Kluyveromyces lactis: one gene and its partners. The protein of the gene in region 1 purifies or fractionates together with the protein of each later gene. This does not show direct contact. Links are inferred from orthologs where the notes say so. Each region holds a gene or a part of one and is shown in the gene's direction. Other genes may lie near its edges. The genes, in order: YTA12, PHB1 and PHB2.

The links.
Region 2: the proteins of YTA12 (region 1) and PHB1 purify together in Saccharomyces cerevisiae (affinity purification with mass spectrometry; 4 studies listed by BioGRID, with this or other methods). This does not show direct contact. The link is inferred for Kluyveromyces lactis from reciprocal best matches to the Saccharomyces cerevisiae genes YTA12 and PHB1.
Region 3: the proteins of YTA12 (region 1) and PHB2 purify together in Saccharomyces cerevisiae (affinity purification with mass spectrometry; 3 studies listed by BioGRID). This does not show direct contact. The link is inferred for Kluyveromyces lactis from reciprocal best matches to the Saccharomyces cerevisiae genes YTA12 and PHB2.

The regions. Positions count from the first base shown.
Region 1 is NC_006042.1:1,269,247-1,273,664, reverse strand, and holds YTA12 (m-AAA protease subunit YTA12), read left to right. Parts: upstream 1-1,586; coding exon 1,587-4,115; downstream 4,116-4,418. Other genes in the region: NPL6 (Npl6p), read left to right, coding at 1-1,168.
Region 2 is NC_006040.1:1,371,831-1,374,506, reverse strand, and holds PHB1 (prohibitin subunit PHB1), read left to right. Parts: upstream 1-1,379; coding exon 1,380-2,060; downstream 2,061-2,676. Other genes in the region: APC2 (anaphase promoting complex subunit 2), read left to right, coding at 1-1,062. UniProt on the Saccharomyces cerevisiae protein: Prohibitin probably acts as a holdase/unfoldase for the stabilization of newly synthesized mitochondrial proteins. Involved in mitophagy; may act as an adapter for ATG8 that supports mitophagosome assembly.
Region 3 is NC_006041.1:1,406,425-1,409,257, forward strand, and holds PHB2 (prohibitin subunit PHB2), read left to right. Parts: upstream 1-1,368; coding exon 1,369-2,295; downstream 2,296-2,833. Other genes in the region: NAS6 (Nas6p), read right to left, coding at 78-770; BNS1 (Bns1p), read right to left, coding at 2,698-2,833. UniProt on the Saccharomyces cerevisiae protein: Prohibitin probably acts as a holdase/unfoldase for the stabilization of newly synthesized mitochondrial proteins. Involved in mitophagy; may act as an adapter for ATG8 that supports mitophagosome assembly.

The DNA.
Region 1 (4,418 bases):
TGAAGATGATGAAAAGGATCAAGAGTACCCTGGACCAGCCAATGATGATGATTACGATGATGACCCAGATGCTGATATCGAAAACGAGGGTAAACCATCTCGTTCCAAGCGCAAGGCCGCTTCGAGCACACCTGTTCCAGTGGTACTAGCGACAAGAGGAAGGCCTTCAAAGAGGAAAAGAGAAGAAGATTTGAACGATCCCTTAAGACAGAAACTACCGTACCCAGTGGACGAAAACGGGTCTCCATACCCAATTGTGAATGACGAGTATTCATTACCTGAGGATCCAGAGGGTGAAACCAAGATCACCAAGAATGGTGATCTTCTAGAGGGAAGACAATTTGTAGTCAGAACTTTCACGGTACCTTCCAGAGGTGAAGTTAAATACATGCTTTCTACTGAGCCAGCCCGTGCCGTTGGGTTCAGAGACTCATACTTGTTCTTCCAGTACCATCCAAACCTATACAAATTGATTATCTCGCAATCAGAGAGAGACGATCTCATCAAAAATGGTGTATTGCCCTATTCGTACAGAAACAGAATCATTGCGCTAGTTACTGCAAGGAGTGTGTTCCGAGAATTCGGAGCCAAGGTTGTTGTAGATGGTAAAAACATCACGGATGATTATTACGCCGGTAAGCTTCGTGCATCCGGGAAGGTGAAAGAGGGTACCCCAGCAAGAGAAACATCACACACAAGTGTCACTGGAAGAAATACCCTTGGAATAGACATTCCGCAACAATTATCCGTCAACCCATCCAAAAATGCAGTAGAATTCTTTGACAAGAGAAATCACAACATCCCGGCAACAAGCAATATCTCATCTACGAACTGGCTCTATCATCATGCTGCTGCATGCAGTAGATTCAACAGTGATCTTTTCTACGATAGAGAACGCATTCTTCTCATCGAAAACCTCGGACTAAGAGATACGTACACGAACGTCTTACATATACCACAATCCACACAATCGACGAGAGTGATATCAGTGAAGAAAGTGAAAGGAAACACAAGCCAAGTTATGTACGAAACAAGAATCAAAGCTCTTGACCTAGCAAGACCTTGCACCGGTCTTTCTGACGTCCCTACATCGATGTACGAAGACATCTTGGACGAAGATATAGTCGCTGCTATAGAAGAACAAAAGAGATTCGAAACAAGCCTATAACATAGCTGAACTGACCTCCCATGTATACGTGTATATCTCAACATACGTAATAAGAGTGTATTATACTAAGTGGCCGGGTAACGATATGTCCTTGCTCTACCAAAAATGAATTTGGGCTTTTCAACCAGAACAACCCCATAAGGTGAACAGACAAGGCCATTTGCCACCGATAAAAGGAGCGTTAGCAGTTACATTTGCAATCTACAGTGGTTGCATTGTGAATTTAAGACCCTATAGTAGTGTAAAATAGCCAGGTGTTTGTTGAAACGGCTGTTTTTGTCTCGGTTTGTTTCGGTGTTAACAAAGATTTTCCACTGGTTTTAAATTCGAAAAGTCCTGTTAGGTAAACGGTATAGCAATCAGACTCGGCTAACCGTAGCAGCGACGTGGTGGTTTTATTACATTGAAGTGACTTGCAATGTTCCATTTAATAAGGCCGGTATCTAGGCTTGGCGTAAAGTCTGTGGCCAGTAGGGCGTTGTACAAAGTTCCAAAGGGGCGTTCGCTGATATTGTTACGAAACGACGTATGCCGTACGTTCCATTCCGGTAAGCTCAACTTGATGCAGAATCGGTTTGAAAAGGAGCCTACGGATGAAGACGTTGATAAAGTCAGGAAAGAAGTTAGAAAGTTTATCGATGATTTGAACAAAGATCAGAAACTCGATATGGAAGAGCGTAAGAAGAAGATTGAAGAGCAATTACAGAGGTTGGAGCTTGCTGTGAAGAGGCAGCAGGAAAAAGAAGATGCCCAAGATAAAGCGAATGATCCTTTCCATCTAGAGCGCGAGAAGAGAGAATTTGAAGAATCGGCGAAGAAGCATGATCCCAAGAATGATCCCAAGAATGAGTCTAAGAAGAGTTCCAACGGAAATACGGATTTCACACCAAATGATTCGAATATGATGACTGTTAACATCAATTTATTCAAAGTTGGTTTGACATTGACGATATTAGCATTTATCCTACACAGATTGAACAGCATGGAGGAACAAAGAGAACTTACATGGCAAGAATTCCGTAACCAGTTGTTGGTGAAAGGGTACGTGTCCAAATTAATTGTTATCAATAATAATCTAGTCAAGGTTATCTTGAACGATAACGGGAAAAATCAACCTGAACATATGGGCCACGATTTTTATTTCTTTACGATCGGATCCGTGGAATCATTTGAACATAAATTGAAGAAAGCACAAGATGAATTGAATATCGCGGAAGACTTTAGAATTCCTGTTCTTTACACTAGAGAGGGGAATTGGGTCAAATTAGCTTTCCAAATATTACCAACTGCACTATTGATTGCAGGTTTGATTTGGATTACTACAAAGGGTGCATCCGCTGCCGGTGGTGGCCCAGGTGGTTTATTCAACGTGCGTAAATCAAAGGCCAGAAAGTTTAATAAAGATACCGACGTAAAGGTCAATTTCAAGGATGTTGCTGGTTGCGATGAAGCCAAGGAAGAAATCATGGAATTCGTTAGTTTCTTGAAAGAACCATCCAGATACGAAAGAATGGGTGCCAAGATTCCAAGAGGTGCAATCCTATCTGGTCCTCCCGGTACTGGTAAGACTTTGCTAGCAAAGGCTACTGCTGGTGAAGCTGGTGTTCCATTCTATTCTGTGTCTGGTTCCGAATTCGTAGAAATGTTTGTCGGTGTTGGTGCGTCCAGAGTCCGTGATTTGTTCAAGACCGCTAGAGAAAATGCTCCAGCTATTATCTTTGTTGATGAAATCGACGCTATCGGTAAGGCAAGACAAAAGGGTAACTTCTCTGGTGCCAATGACGAAAGAGAAAACACTTTGAACCAACTTTTGGTTGAGATGGACGGATTTACTACTGCAGATCATGTTGTTGTCCTTGCAGGTACCAATAGGCCAGATGTTCTAGATCAGGCTTTGATGAGACCTGGTAGATTTGATAGACATATCAACATTGATAGACCAGAGTTACAAGGCCGTCAAGAAATTTTCAAAGTTCACTTGAAGAAAATTACATTGGCTGGTGATATGACAGATCTACAAAACAGATTGGCTGTTATGACACCAGGTTTCTCCGGTGCTGACATTGCTAATGTTTGTAACGAAGCTGCATTGATTGCTGCCAGAAACGATTGTGATGCTGTTAGATTGGAACATTTCGAACAGGCCATTGAAAGGGTCATCGGTGGTGTCGAAAGAAAATCAAAACTATTGTCTCCACAAGAAAAGAAGGTTGTCGCATATCATGAAGCTGGTCATGCCGTCTGTGGTTGGTATCTAGAGTTTGCTGACCCATTACTCAAAGTCAGTATCATTCCTAGGGGTCAAGGTGCTCTAGGTTACGCACAATACTTACCAGGTGATGTATACCTACTTTCAGAACAACAACTAAAGGACAGAATGACCATGGCACTAGGTGGCCGTGTATCAGAGGAACTGCACTTCCCAAGCGTGACCTCTGGCGCTAGCGATGATTTCAAGAAAGTTACTCGTATGGCTACTGCAATGGTAACTGAGTTAGGTATGAGCGATAAGATCGGGTGGATCAACTTTGCCAAGAAAAGTGAAAACGATCTAACCAAACCGTTCTCCGAAGAAACAGGATCCATTGTGGACTCTGAAGTGTACCGTATCGTTCAAGAATGCCACGATCGTTGCGCCAAGTTACTCAAAGAAAAGGCTGAAGACGTTGAAAAGATTGCTCAACTTCTACTGAAAAAGGAAGTTCTAACAAGAGAAGATATGATTGCACTCTTAGGTAAACGTCAATTCCCAGAACGTAACGACGCATTCGACAAATACTTGAATGAACGTGAAACCAAAAAGATCAAAGATCAAGAAGCAGCTAACGAACTGAAGAACAGAGCATCTGAAAAGAAAGATGAACAGGAGGATAATGATAAGAAGGATTCGGACAAGAAGGATTCAGACAAAAAGAGCAATGAACAAGATGATCCCAACGTCTTTTAAAAACAATAACATTATTAGCTCTAACTACTCTGTTTCTGCAATTTCATTTCGTAATCCCAAGCACCAGTAGTTATCATCAGACTATACTGTATATATCAAGCATGTAAATAGGTGGTTTTAAGTAAGTCATTCTTAATAATAACAAAAGAGGTCTACGTTGACACAATTTACTTCACTTACGTTTGATGTGCTTGTTGTCTTGGCCATTAATCAGTCTAGAGCGTACTGATTATTGATTGTTTAACATTATGCATGCCTATATGCCTCTCGGTGTGATCTTTCCGAGTTTGGCAAAAACAAATC
Region 2 (2,676 bases), on another chromosome or scaffold:
TTTCCATTCCAAAATAATGAACGGTTCAAAATTGCATCATCAACTGATGGTAGTTCCGTACATCTTGAAAAGTTAGAGCAATTTTCGAGAGAGGTCGGTGATTTCTCAATGGGTCCCGAATTACCCACCGCGTTGCCTTGGTTCAACCAGCCCCATCTACCTCGGTGTACTTACGATGGAGACGATCAACTTTTGAAACAGTATTTGAACTGGGTACCGGAACCCCCAAGAATCAAACTTGATGTGGAAGATTTTGCTGACAATGATGGCAAATATGTCCCACCGGTTGATTTGATCCATGTGCTATTAGACGTACTAGAGTCAAAGAGAACATTAGTGGACGATCTCTTAGGTGTTGTAAGTGGTAAATTTATTGAATCTGAGGAATATTCCTTAGATCCAGAATGGCAGAGAATAATGGATATTATATTGAATCACTTGGAAGGGACAAGAAAAGGTACTGTTACATCAGAGGAAGCCGATTTAACCCACCTCAATGATGTAGATATCATGCTCGAAGACCTAAGATTAAGCAGCCAATTCAGAAATCAAGTAGCCCATAAAAATAACTCTCATTTTGAGAATTTCCCCCATATTAAGATCCTTTCCAAACTTTATTGGAGACATTATCAGAACCTGAATGGAAGACTCGTTACTACGAAATACAAATGGGACAGCGAAATGGAACCTTTGATTCAAAAATTAACGAAAGTGTACGAAAGATTGAATACTGGAAGGACGCTAAAATTTGATACTGGATCTAGTAGCCGAGTTTCAATCAATATAGTTACGAAATCAGGCGAAAGACGATTCTTCAAAGTGACAATGGAACAATATTTGGTGATATCACATTTTCAAAACGAGACAAACGGCAGAAATGCTCCTGGTATGATGGCTGACTGTAATTACGTTATACCTGAGAGAAGGTATACATTGAAAGATCTCCATAAAATGACATCAATGCCCAGACAGAAAATTCTTGACATCCTTTCGTTCTGGCAACAAAAGGAAATTGTTACTAAACATTCAGATGATTCTTATAGTGTACAAGAAGGAATATAAACCCCATACTGTATGTCTGTGTTGTGCTAGTGTATATGTTTTACTATATATTCAGATATATCTGCAGTTCGTATCACGTGACTGCACCCTTTGAAAACCGAAAAATGCTGAATGGAGAACAAATTATAAAATGGCAAGCAGGGATTCGCCACTTCTGAACTCAAGGGGGAGAGAAACAGGTCAGAAGAAAAGGAAGAACAACAACCGTTGAACTACCTGTGAAATCGTATCATTCCATTAGCGAACTAATTGATTGATACTTAGTCATTATTATTTGTACTGGAGATAGCGAAATAAGTGATTACTAGAAGCTGAAAATGTCTCGTGTAGCTGATGTTATGGCTCGTATCGCCATCCCAGTTGGTTTAACTGTAAGTGCCATTCAATACTCGATGTATGATGTCAGAGGTGGTCACAGAGCAGTCATTTTTGATAGATTGCAGGGTGTTCAGCAAGCTGTCATTGGTGAAGGTACTCATTTCCTAGTTCCATGGTTACAAAAAAGTATACTTTTCGATGTTAGAACAAAGCCAAAGAACATTGCTACGAACACCGGCACGAAGGATTTGCAAATGGTATCACTAACATTGAGAGTTTTGCACAGACCAGATGTGATGCAACTACCCAAGATTTATCAAAACTTGGGTATTGACTACGATGAAAGAGTTTTACCAAGTATTGGTAATGAAGTTTTGAAGGCCATTGTTGCCCAATTCGACGCAGCCGAATTGATTACACAGAGAGAAATTGTGTCTCAAAGAATCAGAGCCGAACTTTCCAAGCGTGCTGATGAGTTCCATATCAAACTTGAAGATGTCAGTATTACACATATGACATTTGGTCAAGAGTTCACCAAGGCCGTTGAACAAAAGCAAATCGCACAACAAGATGCTGAAAGAGCCAGATTCCTTGTTGAAAAGGCGGAACAAGAGAGAAAGGCTGCGGTTATTCGTGCCGAAGTGAAGCTGAATCTGCAGACTACATTTCCAAGGCATTGAGCAAGGCCGGTGACGGGTTATTGCTTATCAGAAGATTGGAAGCTTCCAAAGAAATTGCCGAAACATTAGCAAACTCTCCAAACATCACCTACTTACCATCCAAAAGCAGCCAAGGTGGCCAAGACGGTACATCAAACTCTCTTCTACTAAACATTGGCCGTTAAACCGCCAACACCCAGCCAAAAAAGATGTTTTTTCCCCTCCTTCTCCTATGTTTAGTGGCAGAATTCATGTAAATATATACAATTTAAGCAAAGCAACATAAAACTGCCAAAGTTATATTTAACAAAGCATATATTAATTATAATTATTATTATATGTACATACACATACACAAGCACATACACATGACATGATGTGATGAATGTATGAAGATATTAATTAAACGGTATTTTAATAAAGGAAAAAAGGGTCTCGGGACAAAAAAAAAAAAAAGGAAGGTAGGGAAAATAAAGGTGAGAAGAACCGATTATTCGGCAGGTATTAGGTGGTCATTGAATACTCTCTTTCTCTCTCTCATTAATCATCGGATAACATGTCGTTTTTAGTACTTTTTTCATTTTTATTTCGACTTTTTCTTTGACAAAAGGTTTGTATCGAAGTCAGCATTGCTTAA
Region 3 (2,833 bases), on another chromosome or scaffold:
TCGTTATAAGCTCAATTTAATGACTGTTTCAGGTATATAAGCATACATTAACTACCAGCCCCTTCGAATTGGATAAATCATTCAACCTTTGACAAAAAGTAATCCTTCACTTTTGCGTCAACACAGATTTTATCTATGGACAAGTCATCGTTGTCGGTTTCTCCTTCCCATAATGCATGATACTTGTTGACCAACGTGACAGCAACATCGCCGTGACCTTCTGCCAAAGCATGGAACAAAGGAGACCATCCGTTTTTATCCTTTATATTAACAGGAGAGTTTTTATCGCATAATATCGACACAATTCCCACTGAACCGGAAGCTGCAGCTCTATGCAAAGGCAATTGACCAAGGCCATCTTTAATTCTCACTGAAGCTCCTCTTTCCACTAAAAGTTGAACCACATTTAAATGCTTCTTAGAGCAAGCTAAATGTAAAGCAGTGATCCCATTATTAGCCTGTAGATCAAGGTTTGGTTCAACAGTATGATTAAGTAACTTTTCAAGAATAGTAACGCTACCGATAGAACTAGCAATGTGTACCGGAGACCAACCAGATTCATCCAAAATAGTGTCCAAATCAATTTTCTTCATATAGGACAACAATATATCAATTATGTTGTCTTGCTGGAATGATACTGCCCAGTGCAAAGGATATCGGCCATCATCATCTTTAACCTTCACTGCGCCCGGAAACTCACTTAATATCTGTTGAACCTTTTCGGTATCTCCGTTCATACACGCAGCATGTAACAAAAAGTCAGCACCCATAGTTTGAATTGTTTATTGTGCTTTCAATGTTTTACAAATACACTGATCCCAGGACAGCTCTTGTATGGTTCTGACCAACCAACGCTTGTATGAAATAAGCTGTCTTTAAGTTGAAACCCTTTTTAAAGGGTTTTTACCTCATATCAAAGAAATAAGAAACGGCAGTGGAAAGACTTGGTACACCTGGACGAAATCTGGGTACACATTTGGAAAGCTGACAGGTTTTAAGTACTAAATAGGATACTTATGGGTCTCAGATAACATTCAACTTCCCGGTGCCTGGCTATACCACCATGAGCAGAGGCTAGAGTGTTGATGTTTTATCACGTGATCCGTGCATTGTGACAAACATATTTTCGGGGATGTCGCCCCTTCTCAGATGTTAAGTGGCAAAGTGAGAAATGAGCAACTCAGTTCGTTGTTTGAAATTGCTTAAAGGGAAAGGGTTCAAGCAAAGGAACTAGGAGGTTACGACAATCGCAGCAGTAATATTATATATATAACCGCACATTGCCCTTTTCTGATTGGCTGTAAATTTGAAACAAAAGCTGTGTTTTTACCCCCCGCAAAGTTATTATAATTTAATCAAAAGAACGCAATGAACAGATATCCAGGTGATTTTGGTAAGTTTGCCAGATCTGTACAAAGACAATTGGCTCGTGCACAACAATCAGGTGGTAAATATCCTTCCGGACAGCCTCCTCGTGGTGCCTTTGGGGCTTTAGGTGGTTTATTTTTGTTGATTGGTGGTGGATTTTTGGCTAACGAAGCTCTTTTCAACGTTGATGGTGGTCACCGTGCCATTGTTTATTCACGTATCAACGGTGTTCAACCGAGAATTTACCCAGAAGGTACTCATTTTATCATTCCATGGGTTGAAAACCCGGTCGTCTACGATGTGCGTGCCAAGCCAAGAAATGTATCGTCATTGACCGGTACTAAGGATTTACAGATGGTTAACATCACCTGTAGAGTGCTATCCAGACCTAACGTAGAGAATTTACCAATGATTTACCGTACTCTCGGTGTTGATTACGATGAAAGAGTGCTTCCCAGTATCGTGAATGAAGTTTTGAAGGCGGTGGTTGCCCAATTTAATGCTTCTCAATTGATTACCCAAAGAGAACGTGTCTCTAGATTGATTAGGGAAAACTTGGTGCGTCGTGCTAAGCATTTCAATATCATGTTGGATGATGTCTCCATCACTTACATGACTTTCTCTCCGGAATTCACAAACTCTGTTGAAGCCAAACAAATTGCTCAACAAGACGCTCAAAAGGCTGCTTTCGTCGTGGATAAGGCCACTCAAGAAAAGCAAGGTATGATCGTTAAGGCACAAGGTGAGGCCAAATCTGCTGAATTGATTGGTGAAGCCATCAAGAAAAGTAAAGATTACGTGGAATTGAAGAGATTAGATACTGCTAGAGAAATTGCTTCTATCTTATCCAGATCTCCAAACAAGGTTATTCTAGATAATGAAGCTCTTCTATTGAATACAGTGACCGATTCTAGATCAAAGAACTAGAGGAGCAAAACTGAAACAATAAATTAACACCAATTCTTCACATTCAACGAGTTAGGTATCTTATTTATCTCGTATGTATCTTGTTTATAGTAAAAGTCAAAATTCAAAACAATATGACGACGAGTTGTAATCCCTATGTAAAAATCCAAACAGAGATGTTTTCAGAATATATGTTAAAAACTGGGGGATATACAAAGGAGCAATCATTGTGTTTCATATAGATGTCGTGCACATTTCATGTCTAGGTTTATGATGCAAAAGTTGATATAAGTTGAGGCAAGTTTCGGACCTGCCTGACTTGAAGTAAATATGTTTAAAATAGCGTCTTAAGAGCAAAGTATCTCAAGGAATGTAGTCGCAGAAGAGTATAGGGAGGAGTGGGTATCTTGGATCATGTTAAATTTAAAACTCTTCTGCTAATTGCTTCGACTGGAAATTCAACTTGGTAGGATTGCTCTTTGCCTGGAACAACTTCGATCTGTGATCGTTCAACTTCTGGGAACATGGAGAGAGCAAATCATCGGTAGGAGAAGCAAAC